2 linked regions of the Arabidopsis thaliana genome follow. The protein of the gene in region 1 purifies or fractionates together with the protein of each later gene. This does not show direct contact. Each region holds a gene or a part of one and is shown in the gene's direction. Other genes may lie near its edges.

Evidence for each region.
Region 2: the proteins of AT1G26460 (region 1) and AT5G02740 fractionate together in Arabidopsis thaliana (co-fractionation; one large-scale study listed by BioGRID). This does not show direct contact.

Annotation. Positions count from the first base shown.
Region 1 is NC_003070.9:9,147,008-9,157,183, forward strand, and holds AT1G26460 (Tetratricopeptide repeat (TPR)-like superfamily protein), read left to right. Parts: upstream 1-4,620; 5' UTR 4,621-4,808; coding exon 4,809-5,455; intron 5,456-5,663; coding exon 5,664-5,886; intron 5,887-5,974; coding exon 5,975-6,457; intron 6,458-6,686; coding exon 6,687-6,893; intron 6,894-6,982; coding exon 6,983-7,120; intron 7,121-7,205; coding exon 7,206-7,400; 3' UTR 7,401-7,755; downstream 7,756-10,176. Other genes in the region: AT1G26450 (Carbohydrate-binding X8 domain superfamily protein), read right to left, coding at 1,996-2,269, 2,518-2,545, 2,636-2,875, 3,005-3,056; AT1G26470 (chromatin modification-like protein), read left to right, coding at 8,127-8,246, 8,333-8,405, 8,598-8,649, 8,748-8,817, 8,943-9,029; GRF12 (general regulatory factor 12), read right to left, coding at 9,566-9,571, 9,652-9,716, 9,796-9,944, 10,028-10,137.
Region 2 is NC_003076.8:610,333-620,508, forward strand, and holds AT5G02740 (Ribosomal protein S24e family protein), read left to right. Parts: upstream 1-6,091; 5' UTR 6,092-6,184; coding exon 6,185-6,362; intron 6,363-6,657; coding exon 6,658-6,799; intron 6,800-6,913; coding exon 6,914-6,998; intron 6,999-7,111; coding exon 7,112-7,159; intron 7,160-7,284; coding exon 7,285-7,385; coding exon of another isoform or gene 7,386-7,389; exon of another isoform or gene 7,390-7,802; coding exon 7,803-7,935; 3' UTR 7,936-8,516; downstream 8,517-10,176. Other genes in the region: AT5G02700 (F-box/RNI-like superfamily protein), read right to left, coding at 150-305, 436-1,347; AT5G02710 (zinc/iron-chelating domain protein), read left to right, coding at 2,296-2,562, 2,655-2,733, 2,821-2,908, 3,052-3,148; AT5G02720 (valine-tRNA ligase), read right to left, coding at 3,450-3,685, 3,789-3,984, 4,081-4,256, 4,638-4,707; AT5G02730 (CAP (Cysteine-rich secretory proteins, Antigen 5, and Pathogenesis-related 1 protein) superfamily protein), read left to right, coding at 5,278-5,895; SGR9 (RING/U-box superfamily protein), read left to right, coding at 9,769-10,176.

The DNA of each region.
Region 1 (10,176 bases):
TATATTTTCCATTCAAATAATATTTTAATCAATAATTTTAGTGGTGAAAGAAACAATACAAGAGTGAAAATATTTTTTTTACCTTTGAAAGATAATTTTTACTTACAATGTTGCTAATTATTATTTTTAGTTAAATTTGATTTTACTTATAAAATAATAAACTTGTCTATCGTACCGAACATAAAACTGTGATGTTCCAGATTTGTTGTGTGATGTGGACGTTCCAGTTTTTTTATATAGGTTATCAGCTTCTGGTCATAAGCAACCCTCATCTCATCAGCCTTAGCAATGTAAGGTTGTTTATCCTTCATTGTCAGAAAATGATGTTAACATAACAATTAGTTAAGCTAACAAAGAACTTACAAAGAAATACACTTACAGTTAAAGATTTGTTAATCTTTTTTTTCTTGTAAATTTTGTTTTGAAAAATGTACAACTTCAGAAATTTTATTCCACTAGACTTCACTAGCTTGTAAAGTCTGCATATCTATTCAAATTTCAGAACAAGTACAAATCACTCACAACAAGCTTATCAATTAAGAAAAAAGGACATAATCGAAGTTTTTATTAATCACTACAACAAGTAGCTTTCTTTTTCTTGATGTGTAAATCTTATTGACCTCATTTCTTCATATTATAAGAAGGATGTTACACAAAGTATCACAAAATATTATCTCATTTAGCGACCAAGATGCTAGTATCTCCCATTCAATAATTTCATACAAGTTAGATTCAATTGATTCATATAAATCAGATTCAAAAATACTATTTAAACCAAAGAAAACAATGATTTTGTCCCTATTTATTGTATTCAACATTGAATTTTATGAACTCACTTAGCTTTCATCATGAATATTACTAGTACTATTTATACTTATAATAACCTAAGTGCCTACAATATTTGGAGGTTAAGATGTTTTTGGGTATTTTAAATACTTTTGGCTATATTCGGATAAAAATACTTGGGTTTTGTAGATTTTTGAATATTTTCTAGTAGTTCGCATAGAATCGAATATAAATACTTTTTGATATTTTTTTATATTTAAATACTTCGTTAAACCTAAATCTGAACCGAATCTGAAGTTTTGAAATAAATAAATGGGTCCTATATTTCTAAATCTAAAACCAAAAAAGCCAACCCAAATATCCAAACGTCCAAACCTACCTTGAAGGATAAAGATTATTGCTGTTCTTTTTAAAAATGAGATATTACAATTACCATTTTCTCTAATATGTTAAAATTTTGTTATTTGGTTTAGAATAAAGAATTTGTCACACGCTTCTAAGATGTTAAAACTGTATGATCCATATGCTGCTATTCCGCAGATGTTACTCTCAATGTTCACTAAAAGAAAATGAACAAGTCTCTTTACATTACAGTAATAAATACATTGGAAAGCAGGTGAAAAAAAGAACAAAATCATCATGATGGTGGGCATTGGAATGAAGGCCTTAAAACAATTTTAACTAAAAGTCCATTGAACTACCCAAAAAAAGAGAGTAAAAACATCACAATTTGCGCTTTCTGGAACACCTTGATAAAGATCGTGTTAATTGTTACCACAAACCATATTAAACATTATAGTATTGAGAATTGATAAGTGGTGCACTAACACCAAACATCTGTTATTAAATATAAAATAAAAAAAAAACCTGAAATCCTTGTAGCAACATTTTCTTCTTAGCAAACAACCAAGAAACTATCAAAGAGAAACATGTTATCTTTATTGGCGAAGGCATAATTATAAGTAAAAATAATACAACCCAAAGAGCATCTCATTTTTTCTGGATTTACAAAAGAAAGCAAGAAAAAAGCTCTTGATTAAGATTTTCTATAAACCAAAATACTTAAGAAGACGAGCGAGAGTCACAATCCTAATTGGAAATTAAAGATTAAAATTCGGTGGGAAGAAAGATAGGCTCTAATTAACTTGGCATTATCTCAGCCGTCCACAACAAATAAGCGTCCTCGTCATCATCTTGAGATGATCTTACCTAAACCCTCAATGCCACGGCAGCGATGGTAGTCAGTAAGATGATCGTCGTGGTTCTGACGGATAGCTCTTCTCCACCGTTGGGATCACCACTCGTGCTGCTAGATGGTCCCATAGTAGTACTGTCAGGAAACGTTATCGTAGATGAAGTCGGCTTATCATTAGTGGGTAGTGTGCTGTTTGTTGAATTGCCTGTGGATGGATTTGTGGTGCCTGGACTTGCTGTGGTTGAATTTCCGGTGGATGGATATCCGGCAGTGGGGGTTCCGTTGGAACTACAAAAAGGTTACTCTTATAAACACACTTAAATCATCATCACAATTTTTAAGAAGATATAATTAATATTTTGGTAATAAATCAGTAATAAAGATTCTGTCACACATTAGTAGACAAATGACTGAACTATTTCAACGACTAGAATCATCAGAGAGCTCATTACTGATCTAAAGAAAACACTAAGCAAACGAAAACAGAGGGAAATAACCCTAATCTAAACTCTAAGGCAAGGTGATGTGAAACATACCTAGAACTAGATAAACAGCTTGACGTAGCTGCAAGAACAGAGTAAATAAAGAATCAGCAAAAAAAAAAAAAGATACACATTTGATGAAAAGAAGTTGTGGTTTTAATGGAAGGAATACTCGAAGGAGGGGAAGTGGAGATGACGGCGGCGCCGTTGAAGTCACATGTGGCACCGGTGGAAGCTTTCTTTTGATAGTAGCTGTTAACGGCAACGTCACAGTGGTTCTTGAGGGTGTTTGGTTGATAACAAGCTCCGGTCGTCTGAATCTGTGCACAGTCAGCACCTCCTCCACATGCGAAGTCTATCACCTTCTGAAGATCCAGCTCGTTAGCGTCCTTGCACACACAAACCGCCGCGTCTGTACAAAACAGATATCTCGGATTAGCATTACAAGGAAAACGTAACCAAGAAGCGAAAATGTCGGAACCATTTTGAGTCTTAATGCCAAGGGACAAAGAAATGTTCAAAGAAGATAGAAAGAACTTACTTGAATAGGTAAACATGAAAGAGAGAAGAAACAGAGGAAGCAAAACCGCCATGACTGCTTAAACTTGATCGGACTTGTCTAACACTGAGAGTACCACAAATGTGAGTTTGCGAGTTTGTTAGAGAGAGAGGAGATTATTCTGATATGATGATCGACAATTTATACTCTTTATGATATTTCTTGGGTACTAATAAGCAGAATACCCTAAGGCTTAAGTAAAGAAAAGTTCAGATATTATTGTGTGATGACTTGTAAATGTTAGATTTTGAGTACTCAAAGCAATGTGGGTCTCTGAAACAGAGAAGGTGAAAAGCATTCCTGTCGTCTAGTCAATGTGTGACTGTGGTCGGTCGACGCACGTAATATTGTAGGCTTTATGTGAAAAACTAGCTTTGTTAATTGTTATTCTTACTAATTTGTCACCTAAGTTTACGTACATCTGATGCATTCTTTTTTAGGATTTAGATAAGAGTCTAGCTTTCCACAAAGACAACAAAAGATGCATGCACACGTTTGCAAATGTAAAATGTTATTTAACATATTATAAGATAAAATAAGATAAAGATGTTTTTAAAGTAAAGTAATTTGATTTTGAAGCACTAACCGATGGAAAATAATGGAGAAAAACAGGGAAAAGAACACAAAACAATTGGAAATAGTATACACTCTTTAAAGGCAAAAACTTAAGTATTAAGTACTTTTTAAAGGCAAAGCGGCTAAGCGAGGGAGCCATGTGCAGGACAAACTTTGCATCCGCATTACAAAACGTGTGATTGTGTTACAACGTACAAGTCACAAAGTCACACAAATAATCCGAAATGGTGTTGACAGGGCGACCAGAAATAGCTATAAACCTTACCTAGCTCTAACGTAAGTAATCACTTTTTCCTTCTCAGTAATTTATTTTTATTGCTTCTCTTTGACTCTGGAGATGGACTCAACCTCTTATACAAGCTCCATGGCCGATTAAGGGACTTTGTTGGACCGAACTCCATGAATAATATGCCGTAATCTTAGATAAAAATTCCTTCTTATCATTCTATTTAATTTAAATGGATGTTTTCCTATCATGCTGATGTCAAGTATGAAACTCATCACCAACAATAACCATGAGCGAAAGATCTCGCTTAAATTTGTTGCAAACTGAATCGCTAATACCGAATAAGCGAAAAATATCCCAACACCAACCATTAAAAAGTGATTTGACGTTATATACATCCTTAACTTATATAAAAACCAAGCGTTTAAAACTAAAACCAACAAAAACACACTTGTAAGAAGAAAAACCATAGCATGTCCATTGCACATATGAGGAAGGTGTCTTTAGCAACATTTAAAAAATTTAAATTACAAAATATTAATAATTAAATGTGAGAGGTCTTTAAATTAAAGACATCTTTTCAAAAAAAGGTCTTCACCAAGACATTTAGACACAATGTTTTTAATTTAAAGACACACCTAAACATTAAATAATATATCTTCTGTTTAAATATTAAATTTTAATTGTGGAAGACTCCCTCATATGATGTATGTGTGGTTTCTTTGAAAAATCAAGGTTTGGGCTATATCTATTAATGGGCTGGGCTTTATACTAAAAGACTAAAACATGTCGAGGAGTCAAAGACAACTTCTGAAAAAAAGACATCAGATTTCTTGGATAATCTCTAAAATGCCACTGCCGTCATCGAGAACAGATCGTCACGACCGGAGTTAGTAGTGTCTAAAAACTCATCTGAGAGAGAAGAACTCAGAAAACCCTAAACACAGATAAACCCCAAAACTCAAAAACCAAATCTTTCCAACAATGGCGTCTCATCTCTTTACCCGATCTCGAATCTCTCTCCTCAAAACCCTAAAACCCAATCCTTTTACCTCAGCTTCACCCATCAGAGCCATTTCCGGTACACCATTCCTCTCTCAAGATCCTCTGCTCGCAACCGAATCAACAGATCACGACCCATCAAACCATCAATCAACCTCCACGCCGCTTCCACCGAATCCAGCAACAGGAAGTCCTCTTTACCAAGAGAATTGGCGTAGTCCGATCCCAAACACTCCTTCCTTCAACCAATCTCTAGTTCCATTAGGATTTCTAAATCAAGCTCCTGCTCCTCGTATCAGAGCTCTCTCTGAGACGCTTGACATGAACTCGCTGCTGAATATGTTTGCGGATTGGACTGCTTCGCAGCGTTGGTCTGACATGAAGCAGCTTTTTGAGGTTTGGGTTCGATCGCTTGACAAGAATGGGAAGCCGAATAAGCCTGATGTGAACCTTTACAATCATTACCTTCGAGCTAACTTGATGATGGGTGCTTCTGCTGGAGATATGCTTGATCTTGTTGCGCCAATGGAGGAGTTTTCTGTTGAACCTAATACAGCGTCTTATAATCTAGTTTTGAAGGCTATGTACCAGGCAAGAGAGACTGAAGCCGCCATGAAGCTGCTTGAACGGTTAGATTCTCTGAGTTCGTAGATAGATTCCTTTTTTGTACAATGAACAATGCTTCTAGAAATAGTGTAAAGATTAAGACTTTACATGATTGAACGGTAAGATTTGCTGATGAATCAAAGGTTATCTCTGCATAGCAGCTACTGATACTGTTGTCATGTAAATGTAGATCTTTTCAAAATGTATCATGACTTGATGTAATTTGGTCAGGATGCTCCTCTTGGGGAAGGACTCTCTTCCGGATGATGAATCATATGATTTGGTTATTGGAATGCATTTTGGAGTTGGGAAGAATGACGAAGCCATGAAAGTTATGGACACGGCACTGAAATCTGGTTATATGTTATCCACCAGTGTCTTTACTGAATGTGTTCGTAGTTGTGTAGCCAAAGGTAGGACAGATACACTGGTCTCCATCATCGAGAGGTGTAAGGTACAGATGAGTTTTTTGTTATCTTCTATTGACATTTGAAGCTTTTGCAGTCTCGTTTATCAATTATATGTGTATTTTTGTTTTGCAGGCTGTTGATCGGAACAAGTCTCTTTGCCCTAGCTGGATACTGTGTAACTATATTGCAGAAGTTGCAATTCAAGAGGATAATAGCAAGTTGGCCTTTTATGCGTTTGAATTTATGTTCAAGTGGATCACTAGAGGCGAAATGGCTAGGCCGTCGGTTATTTTTTCTGTTGATGAAGGGTTGGTAGTAGCAGGCCTTGCAAGTGCTGCTAGGACTTGTAGTTCATCTTTAGTGGAAGGATCATGGACGATTCTGAAACAGAGTCTGCGTGGGAGGAAGGCAGCCAACCCTGCATCTTACATTGCAAAGATTAATGCCTATGCATCGTTGGGGAATCTGCAAAAAGCTTTCACTTCACTTCATGAACTTGAATCCGCATACGCAGACTCTGAAAAAGAAGTTGTGGAGGAAATGCTTTCACCTTTTACATCATTATACCCGCTGGTTGTGGCGTGCTCTAAGAAAGGTTTTGAGACATTGGATGAGGTATACCTCGACTCTTCCTAAGGGTAAATATTCTATATATTCTCAGCTTTGTTCGTAACAAGAATTAAGGTAGGGTCTTTGGCTAAGATAGTTGTGAAATTTAATAGAACAAAACCAGAAAACCTGTTTATCGAAGTCGAGTATCATGGTCTGGATATTAATGCATTTTAGAGTGAAGCAGCTATAACGCTTAGCTTATCTGACCTTGCACTGTCACATAATCCACCAGGTATACTTCCAGTTGGAGAGTTTGAGTCAAGGTGATACTCCATATAAGTCTGTTGCTGCTCTAAACTGTATAATTCTTGGCTGCGCAAACACATGGGATCTGGATCGTGCTTATCAGACGTTTGAGGCAATAAGTGCCTCTTTTGGGCTGACTCCTAATATCGATTCATACAACGCTTTACTATATGCATTTGGAAAAGTCAAGAAGGTGCTGTTTCTATGTCAAATCACTCTCTAATATTTTCTTTTCATGAATTAACTATTTGGCCTTACGACTCTAGTCTATTTGCTTTGCAGACTTTCGAGGCCACGAATGTATTCGAGCATCTGGTTAGCATAGGTGTTAAACCTGATTCCCGGACGTATTCATTACTGGTTGATGCTCATCTCATTAACCGGGATCCCAAATCAGCTCTGACCGTCGTTGATGACATGGTAAACCAGAATTAACAGACAAAACCTAACCTCTATGAGAGAATGATGTGTGTCTGAGAAACTAATGCATGTTCTAATTATACAGATCAAGGCTGGATTTGAACCCTCTAGGGAGACATTGAAAAAGCTGAGAAGGAGATGTGTCAGGGAAATGGACGATGAAAACGATGATCAAGTGGAGGCATTGGCCAAGAAGTTTCAGATCAGAATGGGAAGCGAGAACCGCAGGAACATGCTGTTCAACATAGACTACTCCAGGGGCCGAGCATTAAACAATTGAAATCCAAAATGGATGGTTGTAATAACGAACCCTTGTGAGAAGTAAGGAATGAAGCCCCGGCTCATCTAGTTTTGAAGTTATGGATCATCATGCCCAGTGTTTCATTGATGTATATTGCTTCATTTTATTCTTCCGAGTCTCTTAATCTGATTTTTATCCAATACATTACTTGGCTTCTTTTTTTCTTTTTCGGAAACCAATAGAGTTGGGTTCTTACTTTCTTAGGATCGATAGTCTTAGGAAGATGCTTTTGCATTGACCAATAATGTCAAAACCTTTGGAATATTTTGACTTTTATCTTCTTTGAATCTAAAGAGTTAAATTCAACCCTATATTAATTGATTTTAGTTTTAAAATGATTTTATGTTTTTGGATGACTTTAGGAAAAATGTTATTTGTTGTAAAATCTCCCAAATCTCACTTAAAAAAGTTAAAGCCATGAGATTTATAATTTTGTATATTTAACTAAACAAAATTATCTAAAACCCCTTAAAATGAGTGCAAAAAATAACATTCAATAACATTAGATTTTAAAATGAGTGCAGAAAAAGAATTAGATTTTAAAATAATCATTGTGTGTGGGATGAAAGCACAAAGACAAGGCCTTAAATATGGGCCGGCCCAGTTCAGAGATCAAACAAGCACTCCTGTATATATACACAAATCACAAACAGCTTATGAGAAGTTTTCAACACATTTGGGATCAAAGCCACAAAACCCTAAAAAATGGGTGGAAGAACGGACGAAAGTGGCGGAGGAGGTAAAGAGAAAGAGGAAGAGCAAGATGGTTTGTCCGTACACTCTCCCTGTAAAGCTTTACCTTCCTCCGCCTCCTCTCTCTCCAAGGTCTCTCTCTCTCTTTCTCTCTATCTCTCTACCATTTCTGTTCCTGAGATTTTAAAGGTTCCTCTTTTATTGGATTTGCTTCTCAGGAGCAGTCACAGGTTGAATTAGAGCTAAGGTTATTAGAAGCCCTTGAAATCTATCCTCCTGTTAAACTCCGAGGCAAGTTTCACTTCTCAAATCTTGATCCTTTAGCTACGTTCTATATGCTTCTGCCAATGTTTACTTTTGTATCATGATAGTTATCAGAAACCATTATCAAATGCAATCATTTCAATGTCTATTGTTCTTGCACATTGATCAGTTTGTTGGTTTCTTGATTTCTTCTGCTAATGGGATCATGATGGTGTGCAGGGATACATCGCCACTTTGTTCTTTATGGTCTGATGGAGTATCTCGGAAGAAGGTTTGTTGTTCTCAGAGTTTCTTTCATACTTCCAATACATACATGAGTCTCTGATCCTTATTGATTGAGTCTTTCTATCAAACTATTCCTGTACATAGCTTTGACCGACCGTTCACTGCGGATGAGGTTCTGCAGCTACTCGATCGTTTTTACAACATTGAGATGCTGGTGAGTAGTAATTACAACAAGCATTGATTGTTATTTTGGTCCCATAGCTTTAGTTTCACTTCATGGCATTGTTTAGAGTTGTGGTGATGGTTTTATTAATCTGTTACCTCTGTTTTGTTTCTTAGAAATCAGATGATGAGGACATAGACATTCTGAATCACGAGGAAGACTTTACCTTGCCGCAGAGTTTCTTTGATAAGGAAGAAGAATGACAGAGGAAGAAGAAAAGATGTTTTCTTTTCATTCATCTTCTCCCATCTTTTTGTATATGGTTAGGTTTTGTCTTCAGCTCTTATGATAAGCTTTTTTCTATATATTCTGAAGTTTTAATGTCAATAAAACCATCAGGATCAATGAATAATCTTTTTGTTACTCTGTCCAGAGAGTTAATAATCATAACAAGCTTTTTGCGGTTTTCGCTCTTTTCATGTTTGCATTTAGAGCCAGGGTTGTGTTTGTTTGGCAATTTTTGATACACATTTGATTGATCTGATGGGAATGTATGATAGCAAAAGCATATGCTGATCAAATCATAATAAAATTGCGTAACATAAAATACTTGATGACATGAAAATTGAGAACAAAATAAAGAAGACGAAAAGTAATACAAAAAAGAAACAATATAGGATTGAATTCAATTGTCTCTGATCTCATCTTCCTGATGAAACCAAGCTATGGAATTTAAAGGAATTTGCCTCCCCCTTCTGGACATCGAATCTAAATCTCATTCAACTTCCAAGCCCTTTGATCAGTTCTGAAACGAACAAACAAAAGAGTGAGCCTTTAGACCCAACAAGAACTATTCATACACCTCATTTTAAAGTGAATTACTACCTCAGTGGCATCGGCAGGCTTGGCCTGTTCTTGCTTGGATTCTTCAGTCTTGATGTTGTCTTCTCCTGAAATCATAACAAAACCACTGCTTATAAGCTCAAACATTCTGAGACATCATGTGTGCTGTGTGATTTTCAGACAAACCTCCATCTTCAGGAAGATCAGAAGTCCAGAGGGTGAGGTTGTCTCTCAGGAGCTGCATGATCAAAGTGCTGTCCTTGTACGACTCCTCACTTAGAGTATCTAACTCTGCAATCGCCTCATCGAAGGCTTGCTTAGCCAAATGGCAAGCTCTGCAACAGTTTAATAGAAACCACATTACAACAAAGTTGACACTCTATTGGTATATTTATTTATTGATGTTTTAGATTGAAACCTTTCAGGAGAGTTCATGATCTCATAGTAGAAAACAGAGAAGTTAAGAGCAAGGCCAAGACGAATTGGATGGGTCGAAGGAAGCTCAGTGCTTGCAGCTTGTGTTGCAGCCTAATCAAAATACAGATGCATCAGACCAAACTTCTCATA
Region 2 (10,176 bases), on another chromosome or scaffold:
TAAGATACCAAAAAGACAAAACTTATATTCTTAACCATTGGATGTAATACATGCTAAGATACTTTCTTATTTTCTTAACTCACAAAAAAACAAAAATTTATTCTAAAATATTGGTAAGATTCAAGATTAAGAATCAATTGTATCTTAACCATTGTAGATGGTCTTAGCTTCTTTAATCCAGGTGAATTCTGTAGTAACCTTGATATACCAGGGATTACAGATCGAACGAACTCCGTTTTAACAGTCAAAGTTTGGACCTTGAGCGTTGGGAAAGGAACACCGCGGAGCTCGGCGAGAGATAGAATCTGACAAAACGAGATGAAATTAAAAGGTCATGTTTGCTAGAAACCCACTTAGCAAGTTGGCGTTCTAAACCATCAAAGAAACATTATTAACCAAATAATAGTTCTACAGGTTTTAGACTTTAGAGTATACCTGAAGAAGGGTTTCCCCAACAGTAAGCCTCTTAACGTTGTGAAATTTTGATAGCATCTCCAGCGCCATGGTTTGATAACCATCTGCAGTCAAGGGAGAGAGTAGGCTACTGATAATGGTAAGGTTAGCTTCGCTCAAAGAGGAGACATCCACTATAGTAGATGGTGTGCTAGAGTATGTCAGTCTCAAATAATAGATGTGTGGCGCAACAATCGCAACTGGTCCTGTGCGGCGATATTGCTGATTTATATCCAATCTCCTCAGATTCGGTGATTTACTCAGATCAAGACGCTCAAGTAATCTGCATGTATCCAGTGTCAAGCTTTCGAGAATTGGACAGCCAGAGAGAATATTATGAATGGATTCGTCTGGAATTTGACAAAAACGCAGTGTTAAGTTCCTTAGGGATTTCCAAGACACTGTGCATGTGGGAATCATATCAAAAAAGTCCAACGTCACGTCGAGTAGCTTTAAGGAGGAACTGAGATAGAAGATATCTGGAAATCTGTAAGTCTTGGAGTATGTGAAATCCCTAACGAACACAGACAGATTTTGCACATTGCGGGAGAGAGCAAACTCGATCCAGCTATCAACCTGGGGTACAGTGTTGCTGTTAAGGTCCATAACAAGTTTGAAACTAGTGATTATGGGAGCCGTGTAGGAAGTTAGGGTTTGGTTCATCGCTCCGTGCTTGAGTGTAATGTCGAGACAAGGTGTCTCGCACCATACATGCCTCCATCGTCGGGATAAGACGGAAGTTCTCATGGCCAAATCGGTGGGAATAAAGGAGAGAATATGGTGAAGGATATCATCTGGCATATAGTTGATGAAATCTGCACCATCGATTATTCGTTGGATTCTGCGGTGGCTACGATGTTGTCGTCGGCCCCGTCTCTCTCGCCTTTTCGCCATCTAACGCAGATGTCTTTAGGTTTTCTTTTGTCTACAGAAGAATTACGTTTAATATTTATATACAATCGGCCTCCCATGGAAAAGACGGCAAAAGCTATGAATCGACTAATGACCCTTTTAAGCATTACCCTTTAACGGCCCAAAATGTATTTATAAGATTATGGCCGGGCCTAGTAAGACAAGTTTACTTTAACCTTAACTTTAACATTACCAGTACCCCAAAATGCCCAAAATTAATGTATCCTCAATCACTTGTGTTACTTTTACAAGTATCGAATTATCTGTAACGTAATCCCTTAAATAATGTACGTATTAGTCTACTGTCCAAATACTGCGCTTTTGAAGATTGACACCAATCTGAAAACAAAACAGAGCACAACCAACTAATCGAAGTAACATAACATGAATATTCAATAGAGAACAGTATAAACCCCTTCTAAACACTGACCTTGTAGCACAATTCGAATCGGAGACAGAAAAACAAAAACAATCCGCCATTATTATTGGGTTATTATTGACACACTGATAAGACCCAAAAGATGCGAGTAGTGAGTTTGTAAGAAACTGTCCCAAGCTGTGACAACCCATAGTTATTGTCTTCTTGTCTCTTTGTGTATTGTTGCTCAATTTGTTTCACGAGAATAGAAAATCATAGTAAGATGAGGTTTGGTTGTACACAAACAAACAAAGAAAGGAAACGCGTGTAAGTTTTTGAAACTTTTGTTTCTTGAAGAATCAATATATGAGAGCCAATGCTATGTACCAACAATAAAAAGTGGATCTTGTTGTTGTATAAAGAATGGTTTGCGACTGAACCGGATAAAAAAAATGGTTTGCGACTGAACCGGATGCAAATTCACAATTTGCGGTTGAACCGGCTTTCGCCATTTGGGTTCTAATCTTATCTTGACAACATTTCTTGCTTCTCTAATTTGCGCCAAAAGAAAAATGGATATGTCGCTTGCGTTATCGACGGCACCAATGAGTAGGACGATTATCTCTGCCACGAGGCGGTCCCAAGTTTCACAACCTAAAGCTAAGAAAGTCAAGCCGGCGAATAAGCGGCCAACGATGTCGACAAGCGGTTTCTCCGGCGGAACGACAAAGGAGTTGACTTGGAAGTGCGTAGAAGGTTGTGGAGCTTGCTGTAAGATTGCAAAGGACTTTTCCTTTGCAACACCTGACGAAATCTTCGACAACCCTGATGATGTTGAGGTTTGTTTGTTTCTCACCCACCACTTGTTCGACTTAATTACTCTGTTAGGTGTTAAAACGTTAATATATATATAATCTTATGCTTAATCCAGCTGTATCGAAGCATGATCGGAGATGATGGATGGTGTCTAAACTACGACAAAGCTACACGCAAATGCTCTATTTATGCTGGTAACAATCAATCATTATTAGCTATCAGATTGTTCTCTCTGTTTATGGACTGAAACTTTGAACGTTTTCTTCCTTTCCTGAGTTCAGATCGTCCATATTTTTGTCGGGTTGAGCCAGAGGTTTTCAAGTCACTCTACGGGATTGAAGAAAAGAAATTCAACAAGGAAGCTGTCAGGTAACTCTCCTTGGTTGTATAACTCTATTTCACAAGCTCTTACACACTGAGAGTGTTTAAATCAAATGTGTATCTGAATCTTAATTAGGGGATATAACAAATGTGGAAGAGATAAATGTGAAAAATATCTTTTTACGTTGCAGCTGCTGCATTGACACAATTAAGACGATATACGGCCCTGATTCCAAAGAATTGGATAGCTTCAACCGTGCCATCAGAAGTAATCCGAGCTCGAGTTGATTAGTCAGATAAACTCAAAGGAAGGTACTGATTCAGTTCTTTTCTTCGTAATACATACCTTAGAGTTCCCCTCAATGCATTTGTGGATTAGAATGTGTACAATAAATAGCCTTATAGTATTGGAAAATTTTGGGATTATTTTTGACTGAGATTACTAAAGTATGTGGAAGAGAAGCAAATACCAAAAGACAAAAAGTGAGATCCTACTGTCAATCCTCTTCCCTAATATAAGCTGCAAAATTCATGAAACACCAAAAGTCTTTATGCAAAACAAATCGTGGACGAACCTTCTTAAAACATGTCATATCACAGGGTCAAGTCCAAGTTCATCTTCAGGTTCATCACTTTCCTCAAATAGCTGCATAAACCGAGCTTGATCTCGCTGCTTCTTCATCCTTTGCGTGTGCTTAAACATAAAAACGCCTCCAACCACAACAAGCGTTGTACACAAAACGCCTGCTATGATCGCTATCATGAATGTTAACCCGTTATATCCTTCCTCTTGCGGACTTGAAGCAGCTACTGCTTTAGAAGATACTACACACATTTTGTTGCATACAATTCATATATGTTACTCATCATCATATCTTTTCGTTTCTTTTGACAGGAAACAGAAATAAGGAAATTAGTTATTACTCACCGGAGTGGAACTTGGCGCAACCGTGGCAGACAAAAGTAGCATTAATCTCCTTTTCTTTAAAATGCATATAAACTTGGCTAGCAGAGAAATCAGTGGGACAAACTTCCCATACATCGAACTCTTTGTCTGAAACGAGGCTGCCTTGCTCATAGATTCCGCATCGTTTACACTTTTCGCCACCAATTCCAGTCATAGGCTGTAACAGGCAATAGAGTGAAGAACATATATGTATTTATCCATGTTATTAATAGATTGTAGTAATGAACGGATGTAAAAGAGATTTGGGACTAGCCTGCCATGATTCTTGACCGCGGAAAGTGTACAAGACACCTGTTTTGGTAACGTCTGGAAGAACAGTTTTGTTCTCTCCATTGCATTGAAAGTAGACCGTATGTTTGAGCTTGAACCAGTCGTGCTTTGTGAATATCTCAATAGAGTTGAGTGTGATAAATTGCCCTCTTACCAGTCCTGAAATTTTGAATATGAACACATATATTAATCTTTTTCGTAAATATACAAATAAGTCGATATGTCCGAGTGGTTAAGGAGATTGACTCGAAATCAATTGGGCTTTGCCCGCGCAGGTTCGAATCCTGCTGTCGACGATTTTTAATTTTAATTTTACAGAAAATTCCCCATTAATCTTAAATTCTTTGAATCTCTTTTTTCTTGGGACGTTTTCTTTTTTCATCATGCAAAATAACCACAAATCGATCTATGGAAACAATAAAAAGCATCATGAAAAGATCGATCATTTTCGATCGAGTGAATGGATAAAAAGTTTGTTGGTTAACGAAACAAACATCATGTTTTGTTTCCCGGGAAAATTAGTCGTGTGGAATTTATTACCTGGAATCCACATGTGGATGATGTAACAGAAAAGAAGATTTCTCCAGATCATCGGTTTTCGAATCGGCATTTTTATCTAATTTTCAGGGTTTTTTTCCGTTTAGTTCTCTCTGTTATGTTTTCAACGAATATTGAAACAAAAGGAAAGAACAGGAAAGCAAGCTTTCGAGAAAAAAGAGGGACAGAGATCCACGTGCGTCTCACGCTTTCCCTCTAAACACTCTCCCTCTTCAATACCACATTCTATAATACATTATATTTGTAACGTTCGTATAAAATATTCACAAACAAAAATAATGATCATATTTTACATTGAAAAATCCCAAATTTTACCGAATTTGTTAAGCTAATTCTTAAATATTTAAAATTAAAACGAACAAAGTAAGCTTACTTTTGTTATGGTATGGACTTTTTTTTTTTTTTTGACATTCATTATGTCAACAAACTACGAAATCTTTTTACCAAAAAAAAAAAACAACGAAAAACAGATAACAAAAAGATGAGACACACAATCTGTCAAAGCTTGTCAGAAAATGGCAAAACACTAACCGAATAATGAATGTTTTCAAAAGTGAAACAACAAAACCTGAGAAACAGAGAAGATTGAAAATGAGAGACACGAAGACGACGACTAAGAGATATGTCGTCGTCTTCGTTATATCATCCGTTTTGTCTCTCCATCTCCTCCGTTCTCCTCCTCCTCCTATTAATCTTCTCCGGAGAATTTCCCTCCACCGCAGGAACTTCATCACCGGACACCAAAGCCGCAGCCGCACGTGCGACTAACAGAGGAAGGAGGAATAAGCAATCCGCGGAGTTCTTACTCGCGCACAACGCAGCGCGTGTAGCTTCAGGCGCGTCGAATCTAAGATGGGATCAAGGGTTGGCCCGTTTCGCATCTAAATGGGCCAAACAACGTAAATCGGATTGTAAAATGACCCATTCAGGTGGGCCTTACGGAGAGAATATTTTCAGGTACCAAAGGAGTGAGAATTGGTCGCCGAGGAGAGTTGTTGATAAATGGATGGATGAAAGTTTGAACTACGATCGGGTGGCTAATACGTGCAAGTCTGGTGCCATGTGCGGTCATTATACGCAGATCGTTTGGCGTACAACCACAGCCGTTGGATGCGCTCGTTCTAAATGCGATAACAACCGTGGATTCCTAGTGATTTGCGAGTATTCACCTTCGGGGAATTACGAAGGCGAAAGTCCTTTTGATATACCTAAAATAACATTGAAATTAGACAAGATTTAATCAAATATTGTTACTTCAATTCTTGAAACATTTTTTTCTTCCTTTAATGGTCAAGTTTTTTCCGTTACTCCTTCTAATGACTAATGTAATATGGACCGTATTGATGTTCGACGTTATGGGCTTTGGCCTTTTTTAATTATTATGTGGGCTTTTGAATTATTTTAGAATGTGAAACGCTGTCGTTTATGTAGCGAATGTGGGTGTAATTTCGAATCTTCTTCACCGTGTTCGTCATCGTCACCACTGAGACTCTCTGTAGAGAAAAACCCTAGACATTTTCCGGTGAGAAATGAGTATCACTCGTAGCGCGATCAGATCGAGTTTGTGTCTCCGGAAATTGGATCCGGAAATCAGTCGTAGCTCGCTTCCGTTTCTTCAAGAGTGGAGGAAATGCCTATCTACCGCCACGGAGCAGCCTCCTCCTGCCTCTCCGTTACCACCGCCTCCGGGAGGTTCTCCGGGAGAAGGTTTTCTCTTTTATTTCATTCCATTTATCTAGTGTTTCTTTGAGAGCATTTCTCCAATTTGTGAGGGCAAAGATCCTAGATCATAGATTGCAGAGTTTTGATTTGTTTGGAGTGTGTATATCTGAAGCTATTGAAATTGAAAATGTTGGTTTCAAATTTAACCGCAGAGGCTATTATCGAATTTTGCTATCCAAAAATGCGGACTTTGTTTACTTTGACTGTTATGGTTTTGAGACTTTGTTTAGCTCACTATGAAGGATGTTCCTTGATGTGTTTTTCTTATTTCTTTTTGCAGGGAGGTTTTATGGGAAGTTTTCAGGCTTTTCAAAACATGCTCTGAAGACAGACATAATGAACGTACTCGAGGGCTGCAGTCTGACATCAGATGATCTCAAATTCAACTATCCGCGTGGCGGAAACTTAACTCCTGCGGCAGTGTAAGTCTTAAGCTTTATTAATTCTCTGGATTGTTACTTTGGAAGAGAGGAATTCGAATCCAAACTAATGAATTTCTATCCTTTTTCATTCTCGACAATGTTGGTATATATCAGCTTTGTGCAGTTCCCATCCCTTTCCGCATATGATAAAGCACTGCGGAATATCGCAAAGAAAGGAAAGCTATATAGATTAGAAAAGGTAATCCTTTTACATTCTATAGAGTCCATATTTATTTCCGTTTTACAAACAAAGAAAGTATTCGTATGCTAGATGGCTATTTAATCTGGAGTTGATTCCTTGTCGATGATTAGGCTGCTCGTGCTCAGTGGGATCCCATTGTTCCTTATGAGGGGAAAGTGGTAAGCTATGTATTCTGTCATAACTTATAGTATTATCGAGGTTTGTTCTCACTTCTCAGACAACTGGTCTGACATAAATTGTAATTGGTACCAACTAATATTTGATGAAATTTTATATTGTTTAGGTTGCACTACATGGGATTCCGGTGAATGCTATAACAGATGACATAGATAGGTTCTTATCTGGCTGTCTCTATTATCCTGGATCCATCCAGTTCCTCACAGTGTGAGTAATTATTGGGTTTACTAATTCTTATTTTATTAGTACCCTGTTTTGTACTTTACTCGATCCGCATTTGATTAGCCGTTAGTTGGACCTGCAGTCTTGCAAAGGCAGTGCTCTCCTGTTTGATTCATCAGTTGCACTGATGTTTAATCATATTACTCACTAGAATAAGCAAATAGTACAGATGTAATATAAATAGCTTTCGCCGGGAACTATAGGAGGAGTGATAGCACTCACTCCTGACTGTCATATTTTTTTTATTTTCTCGAGTACGACATGTGATATCTTGTCACCTTGTTAGACATCATATCTAGAAATCTTTGTGTTCTATGCCTATAGTCGTGTTGTGCAGCAGTTTCTGGATTACTGATAATATGAGGACATGAAACTATTTTAATGCCTTCTTTTACCATGCAGTCAAGGACTTGGAACTTCAAAGAGGGTAGCATTGGTGCGTTTCACATCACAAACCCAGGCAATGAACGCATACATTACAAAGAACAGGAACTTCCTTCTCAACCAACGAATCACATTGCAAGTTCTGCAGTAATTTCTTAGTTTCTATTCCATTCTCGTGGTGTATTCCAATGGTAAGAGATCCAAAGCACTTTCTTTTGTCTCTACTGTTGGGATGTTTTAGGTCGATTTGGTTATCAAAAATTTCCATCTGCAAACTTCACGATGCTTGATAAACTGTTGTTGTCTCTCTCTTCCCTGGTTCAGTTCGAAGTTGATGAATAACAAATACATGTGTCTTAGTAGAAGCAGAAAGTCTCACATAAGCAGATGTTATACTATGTGATCTTTTTCTCTTTCTTGTATTTTGACTAAAGCTGTTATCATTGGATGCCCATGTGGTGAAGTGATCCATCGTGCTTTTAGAAAGTGAATGAATTTGTACTATAAGGGTTTGGTGGGGGCTCACTCTTCACTAGTGCAATAGAAATCGAGCACAGTAGAATAATATAATGAGTTTTTTTAATTGTTCTCTTGCTTTTCTCTAGTGGGTCATCTTTACTTGTAATTGAAGCAACTTGCTATCATATCTTCTCAGTTCTCACGGTAACCGATCTTTCTTCATGAGTCCCTTTGATTGTGTAGAAGATTTGATGTATTATTAAATTTGTAGATCGTATGACTAGTGAAACTGTGTCAGTGTACCTTCCTTTTGATATACTTCTAAGTGATAGTCAATAAACTCAATGGCCAAACCCCTCTAGTAGGATCTTCATTGAGCTATGGATCAATCAATTTGGTGAGCTTAGTTTTGCTATAGTGGTAAGTTTTCTTTGGAGGAAGGGGTAGTATTGTCAGAATAGTCATTGAAGACTTTTCATTGTTGGTGTCCACCGAAATCTTGTTTAGGGATTTGTGAAACATGAGAGTTTGTGAAAGTATGGACAACACACGGGGACAAATGCATAGAGACTAGAGTTATAGAATGGTGTGTGGTCATGTGAATTATTAATCTTTCAATACTGTTTCTTTAAGACAACAGTTGAAAGTGTAGAAGAAGCTATGGATTTAGCCGAACCTTTTGTTTTTGATATCTTTATATAGTTTTGACTTTTGATCATCTTCCTCTTGTTTTGTTGCTTTTGTTTAGCCATGTACACTAGTAAGAGAAACATCTATTTGTCCTGAACAGCAACATGAGTTTGGTAAATAATCTTATCTGATCATTAGGTGTGAATGATAGGTTTTTGGGTTTGTGATTTGTGTTGTGAAAGTTGACAAATACATTTATATAAACAAGCCGATCCAAATTCTTACTCTACTCCACAGACTCTTGTCTGGTCCCACTAACTAGCTTCACATTATCAAATTCTTCGATGAATTTTGGTAAATGTAACTAAAATATCAAATTCTTCGATGAAGTTTGGTAAATGTAACTAAAATATAGTTTGGTTTAGAACTTTAGATTGTGGAGCTAGTAACATTAATAAAATATATAGTTTGTTAAATTTCAACACAATTTTCCAACTAAATCCTTCGAAATTTCATATTTCCAAGATTTATAGTTAAAGTGTAATGAAACACTTTTTAATTGCATAAAGTTTGCAAGCAAATTATGCCTGTCACCAACAGTTGCTAAAGTGTAAAACTTTTGCCAACTCTTCTCCATTCATTGCTTCTTCACCTTTATTCTCCAATCCCAAATTTACATCTATCAATTACATCAAAACCCAAACAAGCAAAGCCGACAATAATCTCTTTTGTACCACAACCATTTGTTTTTTCCCTAATAGAAAAATCACCAATATTTTATTATTACTTCCACCAAATTCCTAATGACTTAATACAATGTATATATAAAGCAAAGATTCGTCAAAAAGTGAAAGTGTTAACAGAAGTGAGAAACGAAGCACACAAGATCTTTAATATGGAAGACGAAAACACCACAATCATCATGGCGTCACTCTCTGCTCTTTCTCCTTCACACCTCACGAATCTGACTCACTCCATTCTCTCTATCTCCCACCACCATCGCCGCCGCCTCGGTGCAGTCCTCTCCTCTCCGACCCTTTTCTCCCTCACTCTCCGCCACCTCCTCTCTCTATCTCTTCCTGACAAAACTCACCTCATCGCCAACCATCTTCTCTCCCTCCTCCATCCTCTTCTCATCCACCGTAAACACCACTCCTCCTACGCCGTCACCATGAAGCTCCGGGACCTAGACGCGGTGGTCCTCCTCCTCTTTCTCTGCGAAACCCACCAGCTTCATCCAGATGTTCTAGAAGCTTCCGCTGATAATTGGCGGGAAATTCTCGGTAATACGTACTCTAATAAT